2 linked regions of the Canis lupus familiaris genome follow. The protein of the gene in region 2 interacts with the protein of the main gene of each other region in a biochemical or structural test. Links are inferred from orthologs where the notes say so. Each region holds a gene or a part of one and is shown on either strand. Other genes may lie near its edges.

Region 1 (10,263 bases), on a different chromosome or scaffold from region 2:
GTGAAGGGGGTAAAAATGGGGATTGTTATTTTATATGTTAAGTGTCCAGGAAAGGTCTCACTAATAAGATGTCATTTGAGCTGACATCTGAAGGAAATGAGACACAAACCATGTCAGTATTCAGAGGACAAACACTGTAGGCAGAAGGAACACCAAGTACAAAGCCCTGGAGGTAGGATTTCAGACAGGTCAAACTTAGAATGTTCTAAACAGAATCATTACACTTTCTACTTATTTCACTTAGCATACTATGCTTTAGTTCTATCCACTTTGTTGCATTTTTCTTAATCCTGTTCCTAATATTTCTCAGTTCAGTGGATGGCAACACCATCCAGTGTCTTGCCTAAGTCAGAAACAACAGGGCTTTGGTCTGATATCATGTGCCTCTTCCACTATATTGGCTGTGCTAAGGCCAGGATCTGTATCTAGTTTACCATTATCCAAACACAGAGCCTGACACAGTGGTGCTTAGAAAGTGGCAACACCACTCTGGTGGATACTGGCAACTAAGCTTAATATTAGACCTGAAGATGCCTCACTTTGCTGTGTTCAACAAACATAGGGTGAGCATTAAGCTTGTGCTAAACTCTCTGTTGGGTGTTAAGGATACAAAGATGATCAAAGAGATCCTCTAAGAAATTTGGTCTGACTCTGTACAATCAAAAGTTGTGTATAAGAAATCATAGACTCAAAAAAAATCATAGACTCATGTGTGTTCATATCAAAAAGTGGCTTCAAAGTCATAAGTTCTATAACTCTGAAGATGTGTACATTGGATTAGGAGACCAACAATAATAATAACAGTAGCAGTGGCTAGCATTTATTGAGGGCTTTGGATGTATCAGGCTCTGTGCTAAATACTTATATGAAATACTTAATTTTTACCTCAGCTCTGTGATATGGGTACTATTATTCCTATTTTGCAGAAGAGAAAACTGAGACTCAGAAAGGTGGAATAACTTGTCTAGATCACATCACCCCTAAGTGATGGGGCCAGCATCCCAGCTCAGGCAGGCTGGTAGCAAAGTCACTACACTTGCTTCCCTGAGAAAGATAAACTTAGCTTAGCTGAGCCTCAGTCTTTTAGCCAGTCACGGTCTCATACACTGGCTCCAGACCTACCTTTTTTAGCCCCAATTTTCAGTTCTTTCTCTCCCCCTATACCAATATGCACCATCCCCAGGTGTCCAGAGTCCTAGCTCTTGCCCAGCCTACTACATCCTCTAATATTGATGGGTTTTGGATTGGGCAGGAATCTTTTCCCTAATTTCATGACTTGACAAAATCATCAAGGTCATCCCTTCAGGGGAACATTTATCTGATGCCCCTCTCCACCCTTGGGGATAGGACGCTCTTCATCTACAATGCTCCAGATCACCTTTGCCAGACTAGCATTCAGCTCCTCTCAGAACTCCATCCACAGAGTGCCCATTCTCCCAGAATGTTACCACTGTACCCCCCTCTTCCCAATGCTTATCACCAGGCCTGGCATAGAGGAGGTACCTATGAAACATTTAGTAAGGAAAGAAAGAAGCACTGTATTCATGTGGACCAGTCTGTCTACCAGAGTTTATTATGAAATTGCCTCCACACAGCCTGCTCATCTGTTCTTATAAGCTTTTCACTGCAGCTACTGTTGTGCCCAAGATTGTGAATCCGAGAAACCACCAAGGAGCCGACACCGATGCAAGCGCACGAGGGTTTATTAGCAAGCTCAAGCTTGGGTCCAAGTATACCCGACACAGGGGAGCAGGGACTTGGACCCCGAAGTGGGTTACAGCTGGGTTTTTTATAGGCTGGTCTAGGGGATTTTCAGAAGGGGTGGAGGAATTTCTCAAGTTCTGTTTACATTCTGATATGGGGCTTTCAAGGGCATTGAGCTCTGTTATCATTCTAATATGGGAATTTCTACCACAGGCGTGGGCTCTGTTGTCTTTCTGATATGGGATTCTCTGCCCAGGGCAATTCTGAGCTCTGTTGTCTTTCTGATATGGGATTCCCTGCCAAGGACATTGAGGACATTCTGCAGTCCCCCCCCCCCCCCCCCCCCCGTAAAGTTCAGCTCTTATTCACAGGGGCCTAAGATGGCTGTACTTGTGCTAATGCTAAACTTTAGGTGGGATGGCCTTAATTTTTCTCGGCCTCCACACTACATTACACCAAGCAGCAGAGGTATTATCCCCATTTTGTAGGTGAAGAAACTTAAAGTATTCTTGCTCTCCCATGACCAGCCCCTATAGTGATCAAACAAGCTGATCATGTGTCAGTCAGCATGTGGAAGTGGGGCCTGGAGGACTCCCTCTTTGAGAAGGCATTTTGAGTTACAAGTTTATGCCAATACTTGGTCGTTCCATACAATGTCTCTGGTGAGGAGTGAATCATACAAGTCAAGAGCTGTGCCACCTCATCACCACCCTCTCCTCCTTAATGTACACATATACAATATCATCCTGAGACTTAGAAATATCAAGACCAAGAAGAAGGGCACACAGCTGGGAGACCAATTTAGCATGTCAAAGACTACTTTTGTTTTTCTAAAACCCTTTATCTTTTGGACCCAGTCCAACTTTCAAGGCTAACTGGTATGGCAGAATGTTTGGTAGCTGGGAAGAGGACATGGAAGACTACCTCCTGTAACAGGAGTAGCACAGCAGTACCTCCTTACCTCACAATTATTTCAAGCCCATCACTGGACTGTTTGCACAATTACTATCTCCCTATTCCCATAGCTGAGACTGCCCTGTCCCTGTTTTGCCCTTGGCTCAAGATTTGGAAACTGTCTTCCTCAAATTGTAATATTTGGCCTACTTCAGAAAATCAAGGTTTTGGGTGAAACATGAACAAATGGCAGGCAACTAGAGGCACAAGGGAGTTGCAGAAGACTATGGAGGAGGTGCTGAAAAAAAGACATCTCCAATTCAGATCCAACAAATGAGAATCAGGACTTTACAAAGCACAGCTCCAGGGAAATATTATAGTTCAGCCACCCATATGGGAAAACTAAGGCTAGGGAGGAGAAAGTACCCACCCAACAAAGTTACAGGGGCCTGTAAGTTATAGTAGGTGGCTCCCTACTCCCTGCCATTTATCCAGACTCAGGACCAAATTAGGAGGTCTGATGTTCAAGTTACTGATTTTTGTTGGAGATGTATAGAATGTCATGGAAGTTGGAAGAGATCAAGGAACTCGGTCAATCTTATACCTTGCTTGTGGAGATGAGGTGATAAACTGTCCCAGAGAGGAAAATGGACTGGCCAACGTGATACAGCAAATCTGAGGTAGAGCTGGAGCCAGATCCCAGCCCTAACAGCCATGGAAGTTCCTGTATTCCACACATGCAGAGGCAACAGTCCTCCTCTTTCCACTCTAGCAGTTAGATCTTTTCAAGGCATACAGGACCCTCTAGAGTAGCAGAGAACACTCCTGCTGCAATGCAAAAATAGTAGGCATTGTTCTCTAATCCCTTCTCTCTCTCCAACTTTAATCCCCTCACCCTTTTCAGATATTCAGAGTTTTAGGGTAGGGCTTTCTGGATATTCTTGAGCTAGTGGTAGAACTGGATTCCTTATTGCCTCATCTCACTAGTCCTTGGCAGCCCCCTACTGCCCTCAGGCTGGTTAAGACCCAAGCTCAGGCTGGCCACCTGCCACATCCCAAACACAGAAGCCAGCTGGGCTGGTACAGGCTTCCTCACTCCACCCTCAGCCTTGACCTCCAATCTGGGCCCACACAAGATTTTTCCCTCAATTTGTAGACTTTTCAGGGACAGGGAAATGTACAAAGCCTGGCTTACCATGAAAAGGTTGAGGACCCCTCTAGAGTCCTTGGAGATCCCCTCTTGTTGCATGAAAGATGGGAAATTTGGGTGAGGGTCAAACTACAGGAACAGGTCTCTCCAGAGAAAACTGAAAGCAGTGTAGGACAGGAGCCTGGGGTTCTGAATCCCAAATCTGCCCCGTCGCTGGCAGGCTAGGTGATCTCAGAAAAGTGCCTTCCCTTTTCTGAGCAACAGCAGGCCCTTAGGTGCAAACTGACCTCGATGGGCTCTTGGTGTGCCTGAGAAGCCAAAGAAGCTGGGGCATGGACGCTACAATTAGATTTCCTGGCAGGTGAGTCCCCCCTCTGAGTGGCCTGAGGGCGGGTGCCACCTAAGGTTGGGCCTGGTGAGGTGTCAAGGGTCTTCGCAGTCCCCCAGGTTCTCCAGCTTCTCCGCCCGGCCTCTCCTTCTAGAAGAATAAACTGCCGGGTGGCGGTCAGGTCGCCTCAGAACGATTGCACAGAGTCCACGGAAATGGGAGCTTAATGCAAAACCGAAACCGAACTCCAGGGTTCCAGCGAGCCCCATCTGGGCGGGACCGGCACAGCGAGCTCGCTGGGTAGCCAAGCCCAGACCCGCCAAGTGTGGGGGCGGGAATAGGGAGTCCCAGCAAGGGGTTCTTCACCCTCTCCGCCTTCTGCCCACACCACGCCCGTGCTTATTTGCATTTAAAGGAAAAGGCACCAAGGAAAACAGTGGGCGGGTCAGGACACGCCTTCCTACAGTGGCGATTGGGCCACACGTCTGCCAATCAGGGCGCGGACGCCCCACCCTGTGTCTGTGGAGTCGTTGGGGAGGGGGTATGGGGGAGCTCCCCCAAGCCTGGGGAAGGGGAGCCAGTGCAGGAGGTGACTGGAACCGCGGTGGCGGCGGCGGGAGCAGCAGTGGCGGTGATCTCAGCCACAGCAGCCTAGGCTCCAGCCTGGGCCAGTGCGGCGCAGCAGACAATAACCGGGCTGGAAACCAGACTCGGCCGGGTAAGCGTTGCGCGCAGCCGGGAGCCTCCGCCTGCCAGCAGTCCGGTGCAGTCCCGCGTGCTCCGCTCTGGCACCCTGAAGAGCGGCTCCAAGAGCTGGGCCAGTGGGCGTTCGGGCCGCTCTCCGTTCTCCCGGGGAACCAGCTTTGAGGACTGGCTGGTGAGGGGAAAAGCAAAGTCCTCTGGGAGCGGGCGACCGCGGCTAGAGAGGGCGTAGAGGGCGGGTAGGCTAGCAGGCTAGCCTGGGCCATTCCTCCAGGCTCTCGGGGCAGGCGGGGATGGGGCCCACACGTGCTACCGCAGGGGCCCAGGGGGGGGAGCCGCCAGCCAGCACCCCCAGCGGTGCATTTGTAGGCCGGGAGCTCCGGAGCTCCGCAGCTTTGTTGTAGCACATTAGCTGCAACAGCTGTGTTACGTGGGTATTGCTCACCCCAGAGGCCCAGCTGCCGCCCCTTCTCCCCTGCACATCCCCTGCCTGCTTCTCCACTCTGTGGGATGGAGCCAGCGCGCTGGCCTGGGCCCAATGGATACTAGCTTTGGCGTGGATTGGGCTATCCACACTGTCGGCCTTCTCTCCCAGAAAGCTCAGTTGGGCCTGTGGGCTGTCCACTTAGGAACCTCGGCCTTGTGGGCCCCAACCAGCCTCACCCCCTGCTCCTGGGCCTCCAGGCACATCTTGCGCCCGCCCCCGCGGAAAGGCAGACTGGCAACGGAGTTCTTGCTGGACCTTAGGCTGGGGCTGCAGCTCAAGCTAGTCCTTGGGTTAGATCTGCAAGGCCGCTTTGTCCCCTCTCAACCCGCCTCTTCTCCCCTTGGAGAACACAGGCCGCTTTTTTCTCTTCTGCCCCTCATTTAAAAATAGTGATAAGCATCGTGTTGGTGGGGGGATTTCTGTGCCAGAGGCCGAAGGAGCAATTATTGTAGTAGAGAACACACTGTTTGTGTCTGTGTGAGAGAGGTAGAGAGACAGCCAAACCCTCCAACTTCGCAGTTACTTAAAATACCCAGCCTGCTGAGCTGCTGTCATTGTCTACCGCTGACACCTCTGACACAGGTGACCACCTGACTGCAGGACTTTGCCTAGGCTCCCTGGCAAAGACAGGCTGTGGCCTCCATGTGATCCACAGTCCAGGTGCCCAGGTAGCAGCTGAACTAGCCCCACAGAGCTGGCCTCGGTTTGGTCAGGCTCATCTTGTCATGGCCCACATGGTCAAGGGGAGTCTCCTCCTGCACACAAACATTTACCTCTGTCACTCTGCTGGCCTGCTGCACAGGCATGGATATGGGCTAGGTGGAGGGTACTGTGCTATTAGACTCCCTGCCCCACCTGAGGGCATTTTAGCAGAGCCCTCTCCCGGCCATTACAGCTTCTCACATTCATCCTCATCCACCTCTCAGTCACTGTCCCATGGTTTTCTTCTGGCAATACACTCTAGGCCTTCCCAAGAACAGGAGAGACAAAGTGACCAAGCGGCTGGCAGGCTCTTGGACCTTTAACCAGTCTCTGAGGTGGCGAACCCTGTGGGCTGCAAAAACTGGGTATTTGAGAGGAGTAAATCCCTCACCTGGGGGAAGGCTAGCTGGGGACCTTTGTGACCCAGCCAGGACTGCAGATAATGCACAATAGTCACTTCTTGCCACTTTGACCAGACACTAACAGAAACCAACCCTCTGCAGCTAGGGCTGCAACTCAGGGCTAGACCTGCTTTTCTGCCCTGCCTCAAACCAACAGCCACCTATTTCTTCCATATATAACTCCCCTCCTTACACCCAAACCACTGCCCAAATGCTTTTCCCTCTCAGGCCTTAGCTCTGGGCCCAACTTCTCCTGCGTATCTTTTCCGCCTGTCTCTTGCAACCCGTAATGACCTCTTCTTTCTCAGAACTCCTCCAGGCTTGCCTGCATCCTTTGGCCACTTAGGAGCCTAAATTATAATAGGAGACAAACTATAATTAGGTCTCCCTGCCTCTACTTTGTCTTCATGATATCATGGATCATTTACCCACAGAAGGGTAAATGAAACCTTGAACTCAGCCACAACCCCCTCAAAGCCTAGCAATGCATAACAATTCATGAATGCTCCAGAAGGACTTGCTGTCCTTGTGGATATTTCAAGAAGATCTTCTCCAAGTTACACTTGTCCTGATCCATATGAAAGTGATTAGAGAAATGATACTCAAGGCTCAGATATTTATTGAGTATACCTAATGAGAATGGAGAAGGGTGATGGGTTGCAACTATAAGAACAAAATAAATCATGTCTCCCTTCAACAGCAAGCTCAAGATCTATACTGCCTAGACCCCAGACTACACATATCTTTGGTTGCTGATTCATGAGCCTAGAGGCAAACTACTGTGGAGAGAGAGAAGAAATCTGTATATGCAGAGAGATCACCCTGGAAGCTTCCAGAAATTAGAGGGATTTGGCTAGGTATAGGGTAGTAGTATAAGCAAAATTAGGAATGTGAGGGTGTGGCTGGTAACCAAGCTGAAAGATGTGACTTCAGGTTGAGATTGTTGCATTTAAGGTAGAGAGGAGATTGGTGCCCAGTGATGGGTATTCCCAAATGTCAGGCTGTGGAATGGGCATCTTGATCTTGGGAGAATGGAAGAAAGGGCCATTGAAGAATGGAAAATTGGGAGGTTTTGATACTTCTATGTGTATATACAAATATGCCATAATACGGGATTTTAGAAAGAGGTCTTAGAGATTGAAAGCATGCTGTAAGTCGGAACTGTAAGAGGTCATCTTTGAATCTGGACATAGAACCAAAGGGCAGCTTTCTCTGGAGGAACTTGTGCCATGTTGGCTTCCCTTAAGCTTTGCAGGGGATGAAGTTGAAGGAGGGTGCCTAGAGCCTGCATACCAATATGGTGGAGGCTAAATATCTCGCAGGCCTCTGATGATCTCCATCCTTCCAAATGGACAGACCTTCAGGGAGTACCAGTTTGGACTCCTGTGCTTATGAGATGGAAATTCTGATCCTGGAAAGCAACAGGGACTTCCTTAAGGCCACACAGCATTTAGGGATAGGCTGCCACGGCAGAGGGGCTTCCAGCTCCCTCACAGATAGGCTACTCTAGGCTAGAAGAAGGCATGTCCTGTGTTATTCCATCAGTTCCCCTGCCTTGAATCAGTCCAGGCAAATAAACTAAGTGATAAATGTAAAGGCTCCAGAGGAGGCATTTCCTCCTTGTGTCACTCATTCCTCAGCCACACATCTCACACTGCCAGGAACTTCTTAGGGCTAATCTGAGCCTTTCATGCCATACATAAACTGTGTGTGCATGCTTGCGTGCATGTGAGCGTGTGTGTGTGTGTGTGTGTGTGTGTGTGTGTGTGTGAGAGAGAGAGAGAGAGAGAGAGAGAGTTGGGGGATGAAGTTGGGGGCAGCTGGCCATCATTGCTCCTGCTTAACAAACCATTGGAGATTTCATGGGCATTAAACTGTCTTTCCTACTCCCAACTTCTGTTCTCTGAATTAGATAGTCAGAGCTTTTCACCTCCTCTCCTTGGTCTTATTGTTCAAACCTGTGCATGTGTAAGTCTATCTCTAGGAATAAAGTTAGGGAAACCAGAGCCACTGAGGAGGTGTAGGTGCCGTCTGAGTGAGGGTGCATTGCTTCCCCACACCTCCCCTTTTGGGATTAGGGGATAATATAGACAATGAAGAAAATAATATGAGGAGTCTTGGTGGCAGCACAGGTAGAGATATACTGGTGTTACAGGGGCATTTGGGACTTTTTGATCTGCAGTTCTCGTTGCAGAACCTTCAGTGCTTTCATCTCCTACAGGATTTTTTCCCTGCTAGGCTTCCAAGCAGATACTAACTCAACTTCTCCATCCAGCACTCGTCAGTCCTCCCTGCTTGGGGGTACTCAGTGGAGAGAGGCTGGGCTGGCCCAGTTATGATACCCTTCCCCTCTGGACATATGGGGAATATTTGCAGGCCAGGCCTAGTGCTTTTTGAAAAAGTAAAATGTTTGGTGGGGTTCAGTGGAGGGAGGCATGAGAAGTGAGGCTGGGCTGTAGTACAGTGGTGGACTGAGCCCTATTGGCTAGGCATGTAGGCCTTCCACTGAAGCCTAGGACCCCCAAAATCACATGCCCCAACCATGGCTCCTCTTTCTGCAGCCACTGGAAAACTGGGCACAGGACTATCCTTCTCCTGGCTTCGCACACAATCTGGGGCAAGCAGACTCCTAGCTCAATCTCCCATTTCTAGATATGGAAACTGAGGCCATGAATAGGGAAGGGATTTGCTCAAGTTTACAAAGGAGCACAAAGATCCTGGCCCTCAATTCAAGATTTCTTCCTCTGAGTACACTGATTCTGATCCCCTCCCAAGCCTCAATTTCCTTACCTGGTCTCTCATATAGAGTATATTACATACAGGGCAGTGGATACATGGGTAAGTTCAGGGTCTCCATTGTTCATTTGGCCCAGCTGTTCCTCTTCAGGCTTTAATTGGCTACCTTGTCACATCTGTTTCCTTGGAGTTAGCTCCTCTTATTCTTCATCTCAACTTGGTGGGGGGAGGTGGTACCTGTCTTTGATGCCACTCTTGCTGGGTTAGTGCTGACATAGAAGCCTTACTATGCAGGCAAGGCACCCACCTCAGATATATTCCTCTCTAGGAAGTTTGGGACCCTGAGAAGGGAGTAGCAAATAGATGGCTTGGCTCCTAGAGCCCCCATCATTCCAGGCAAGCTGGGCAGGGAATCTCAACAGCCTGAGGAGAAGGTGGAGCATCAAGAAGGCTTACCAGGAAAGCCAATTTCTAGGAAGAAATGATGTCCTGGTGACCATACCTTCCAGACTATAGAAGTCCCTATGTGTTGAGGGCTAAAGAGTAGAGAAGTGTGGCTAGGAAAACAGCAGGAGGCATGCAATGTGAGTGAGTCCTGAAGGTCAGGAAAAGGGGTTTGACTCTGATCCTATAGGCAGTGTGGAATAATTTGGTAAGTAGAGGAGTGCTGCATTGAAATCAGGGTTGTAAAAATGAATCTGGCAAGAGTGTGAAGAAGATGAATATGGGGAGGGAAAGGTGGGATTTTAGAGTTGTGGCAGGGAAGAAGCAGAGGGAACTCAGCTAAGAGACTTGTGTCAACCTCAGAGGACATGGGCTGGCAGCTGAGGAGCTAGAGTGGAGAAGGCGGCTGCAAGAGGCCCTAGCACAAGGGTCTTTTATTGAATATCTGCTTAAGTAACTACCCTATTGATTTATAATCTCTGATTCTTACAGCAATCCTGCACGATAGGTAGCATTTTCTTCATTTTCTAGATAAGGTGTTTAAGTCTCAGAGAGGTTAGGCCAATTTCTCAAACCCTACCACTTGTAAGGGGTGAAGTTAGCATTTTAGTTCTGGACTGACAAACTCTAGCTGAATTAGATTTCAATTGAACCAACGTTATTTGAAATCCTGCTCTGTATTAGGTATAGTGACTATAAGATTAAGAAGGATCCC
Region 2 (4,199 bases):
TGCAGCTCAGCGCAGCCGATCTGTTCAGCGAAGTTGGCAATGCCAATGGCATTGCTGGGGTCCAGCTGCTGCACGAGGAAGTCACTGCAGGCACGGACGACGCTGTCGATCTGGTACATGACGGCGCCATTCATCACGTGGAGCACGCACTTCTCACCCATGGAGATGGAGGCCGTGTAGGCAAACTCAATTAGGCGCTCCATGACCTTGGGGTGGATGCCCTCAATGGACACCACCTCCATGCCCTGCTCCCGTAGCCCATTGGTGAACATGGCCTTGAAGACGGGGCTGGATGAGGCCAGCACCACCTTGTGAGCCATGAACTGGGCAGCTGGCGCGTCCTCGTATTTGACCTGCAGCGTGACGTCACACAGCTGCTGGCTGAGCCGCAGCTCGTTCATGATGCCGAAGGCCTGCTTGGTGTGGTCCTCCAGCGTGTAGCTGAAGGTGCGGTTGCCGTGCTGGGAGGGCGTCACCTCGGCTTTGCACTCGGTGGAGGCGTACATCACCGTGTCCCCTGCCCCCTCGGGGCGCTGTGACCTCAGGGGAAGGAATCGAGTGCGGGCCCCAGCCCCGCTAGGCCCAGGTTCCGGCTGCATGGGGTTCCAGGTGACAAGGGACAACACCACCACTGGCACTCAGAGGCCTGGAGGAGGGAGAGCACAGGGCTGGGGGCAGGGCCTGGGGGCAGGCCTCCTCTTTTACGATAAAACGACTCCTAGACCAGTTTTCCTTCCCAAGCCCAGGTGAAGCAATGTCCGTCTGTGCTCACTCAGCGCCACATGGCTTCACCAGCCCAAGAGTCCAATTTAAAACACAGGTGAGATGATGTCTTTCCCTTGTGCCGAATCCTCCCACAATTCCCTACAGCACAATGAGTGAAACCAAACTCTTCAGTGTCCTACTAAAGCCCTACACAGTCCGCCTCTGTCCACCTCTTCCCTTCCTAGACAGAGCACATCTAGCTCATTCTTTCATTGGCCTCACCAACATTTACTGATTATTTACTGTGTACCAGGAACCGGAGACATCCCAGTGGAGACAGGCAGACATAAACTGTGCCCCCCTGGAGGACACTTGGCGAGGGATGGGCCATAAGTAAAACAAACAAGACCTGAGTAGGAACGGGGGGTTATGAAGAAAAGGACCACAGCACTGCGACAGTGTGGCCTGGGGCAGTTACTTTAAATCGGGTAGTCGGGGGCTCTGTTAGAGCGGAGACAAGAAGGATGCACACACGGAAGGGGTTTTCCAGGCAGAGGGAATAGCAAGTGCAAAGGCTCGGAGGCAGAGCGAGAGAGACCAGCTGGAGCATCAGGGAGGAGTGTAACAAGAAATCCTGCTAAAGGGAAGGTTTCCGTGAACCCTGAGGAGGCTGGAGGGCCAGGGCACGAGCTGTTTTGAAAGGTCCTGTCGGGAGAAGAGGGGCATCTGCAAGAGGCTCCCCGGGTTCTCCCTTTATCTTTCCCGGACCCAGCGCAGTCCTCTCCTCCCTGTCTTACTTCTACCACCGCACTTGTCGGAAACGGCGATGAGCTCGGCCGCTGGCTTGTTGAGGGCGGGCGGGCGCCTCCGCCTCTCAGCCCCGCGCTTCGGGAGGCAGGGAGCCCCGGGTCGGTCAGGGTCGCGCCCACCCTAGCATGTGCCTCCCCAACGTCCTGCCTGGGGCCTGGCACTGCTCAGGGGTCAGGACGCGGTGGCTGGCTGGCCGGCTGCCCGCCTCACTGCCTGCCGGAGCACCCTCCTCCACCGGGCCCAGGGCCGCTCGCCGCCTCTCCCCGCCCGAGGCCCGTGCCCAGCCTCTTGGTCTCCGGCCAGGCGGCCGACGGTGCCCCTTGGACACCGGGCTCTTCCCCACCGAGCGGTGGGGGGACTGCGCATGCCCTGCCCGAGCCGCCAGCGAGGCCCGGAGAAGGGAGGAAGTGACCCTGCCGCGGCCTTTCCGCTGGCAGCCCCGAGGCGCGCTCCCAGCTCCCCGGCGCGCCGGGCTCCGGGGCCCTCGGTCGCGGGGCGCTGCCTGGGCCTCTCGCCGGCTTGCGTAGCCCCCGGGCCAGCCCTCGAGTCGCGCCGTCCAACAAAAGGCCAGGACTCGGGCCTCGCCCTCCTGGCCCCCCGCGGGGCCGCGGGAACCCCAAGGCGCCCGGGCCCGCGGCGCCCCGTCCCCCGACCCCCGGGGCCGTCCCGGCCCGCCGTACCCACAGCCCGGGCGCAGGCCGCCTCACTCACCCCGCCATGGCCGCGCTCGAGCTCCGCCTCCGTCGCCCAGGCCCGGGCGCCTCCATCGCTGCGCGCCGGGGGGAGGCGCGGAGCGCGCGCAGGTCACCATGACTAAGCAGAGCCGGGCGCCGGCCGTGTCAGAATAAGAGTCCCCGCGGCCCGGGCCTCCGGCGGCGGCGGGGCTGACGGATGCGCCGCGCCCCCCGCCCCGCCCCGCCCCGCCCCCCCCCGCCGCCGCGGGTCTCGGAGCTGCGCAGCCCCGGCGGGGCGACCACTCGGGCCCGTCACTGCGGCGCGCCCGGCCGCGTGGTCGGAGCCGCCGGGAACCTCAGCCCGGGTTCGAGGCCCGGCGCCTCCCTGCCTGCACTGGAGGTGGATGGGCAGCCCCCCCGGCCGCGCGCTCACCTCGGCCCCCGCGCAGCCTCGTAGCTCCGGCCGCGGGGCGGGGATGCCCGGGGCACCGCAGTGGCTCCGGGCACAGGGGTGCCCCCGTGCGCAGAGCTTCCCGGAAACCCCCAGAGCAACCCTCCGCGGCCCGGCCGGGGGCGGCTCCCACCTAACTTTCGCTATGGGGCGCCCGCGGCCGCCGTTGGGGGGACCTTGGCTCTGGGGCGTCAAAGCCTGCGGGGTCTTGGACGTCGGGTGGGGGGGCGACTTCGGGTCGGCGGGGAAGGAGGCGGGGAGAGGGCGGAGAGGCGCGGCGGGGAGGGAGCCGCGATTCCCCGCCCTTCCCGCAGGTGCCCGGCGCCCCTGGGCGCGGAGCGGGCGACGGCGAGGGAGCAGGGCGGCGGCGGGGGGGGAGGGGGTCCGTCCCCACTTGCGCTGGCCCCTTCCATCCCCCGGATCTCAGCATCTCAGCGTGTGGCTGCTCTCCCCGACCCTCTCTTTTCCCTTTAACCCCACGCAGCTCTGGGTCCAGTGGTGAAGGATCCGGCTAGATTTATTTACCTAGTTGGCTTTTCTTTGTTTTTATTTTTATTTTTTAGATTTTATTTATTTGAGAGACAGTGAGAGAGCAAGCTCCCGCACGAGTGGGAAGGGGCAGAAGGAGACAGAGAAGCAGGCTTCCCGCTGAGCGGGCAGCCCTATGCGGGGCTGGATCCCAGGACTCCAGGATTCTGACCGGCTGAAGGCAGAGGCTTAACCAACTGAGCCACCCAGGCGCCCCTCCTTATCTTTATTTTTTAGTTACTTCCGGTCTAGAGGTGTGTGAAGTTCGCCTGCAGGGGTTTGAAGCCCGGCTCCGCCACTGTCCAGCTCCGAAGGGATAGGTCCCTACCTCAACCTGTTCACGCTTCAATTTCCTCCCTGTAAAACCTACCTGCAAGGTGATCATAAGGGTGAAATGGGAATGCTAGTGCCCAGTGGATATGAACAATTGTTATTTTTCTTTTAAGATTTTATTTATTATTTATTCATGAGAGACAGAGAGAGAGAGAGAGAGAGAGAGAGGCAGAGACACAGGAGGAGGGAGAAGCAGGCTCCATGCAGGAAGCCTGATGTGGGACTGGATCCTGGGTCTCCAGGATCACACCCTGGGCTGAAGGCGGCGCTAAACCGCTGAGCCACCAGGGCTGCCCTAATTGTTATTTTTCACTGCAAGGGATACTGATTTGCCATTCATGCTGATTATGATATAAAGTTAATTTTTAAATGTATTTATTTTAACAAGAGCCCATCTAAGCCAAACTATGGAAGCAGCCTAAGTGTCTATCCATAGATGAACAAATAAAGAAGATGTATATATTTATATTATTCATAAAAAAGAATGAAATCTTGCCATTTGCAAAAACATGAATGGAGCTAGAGAGTATAATGCTAAGCAAAATAAGCCAGTCAGAGAAAGATGAATACCATATGATTTCACTCATATGTGGAATTTAAGAAACAAAGGATGGGGTGCCCACCTAGGTGGTTCAGTTGGTTAAGCTTTGACTTTGATTTCGGTTCAGGTCATGATCTTAGAATTGTGAGATGAGCCC

What was found.
Region 1: the proteins of KEAP1 (region 2) and AMER1 form a complex in vitro, tested with the Homo sapiens proteins (2 studies listed by BioGRID). The link is inferred for Canis lupus familiaris from reciprocal best matches to the Homo sapiens genes KEAP1 and AMER1.

The regions. Positions count from the first base shown.
Region 1 is NC_049260.1:49,176,318-49,186,580, reverse strand, and holds the start of AMER1 (APC membrane recruitment protein 1), read left to right. Parts: upstream 1-4,601; 5' UTR 4,602-4,794; intron 4,795-10,263. UniProt on the Homo sapiens protein: Regulator of the canonical Wnt signaling pathway.
Region 2 is NC_049241.1:51,048,492-51,052,690, reverse strand, and holds the start of KEAP1 (kelch-like ECH-associated protein 1), read right to left. Parts: upstream 2,801-4,199; 5' UTR 2,623-2,800; intron 2,384-2,622; exon of another isoform or gene 2,227-2,383; intron 647-2,226; 5' UTR 600-646; coding exon 1-599. UniProt on the Homo sapiens protein: Substrate-specific adapter of a BCR (BTB-CUL3-RBX1) E3 ubiquitin ligase complex that regulates the response to oxidative stress by targeting NFE2L2/NRF2 for ubiquitination.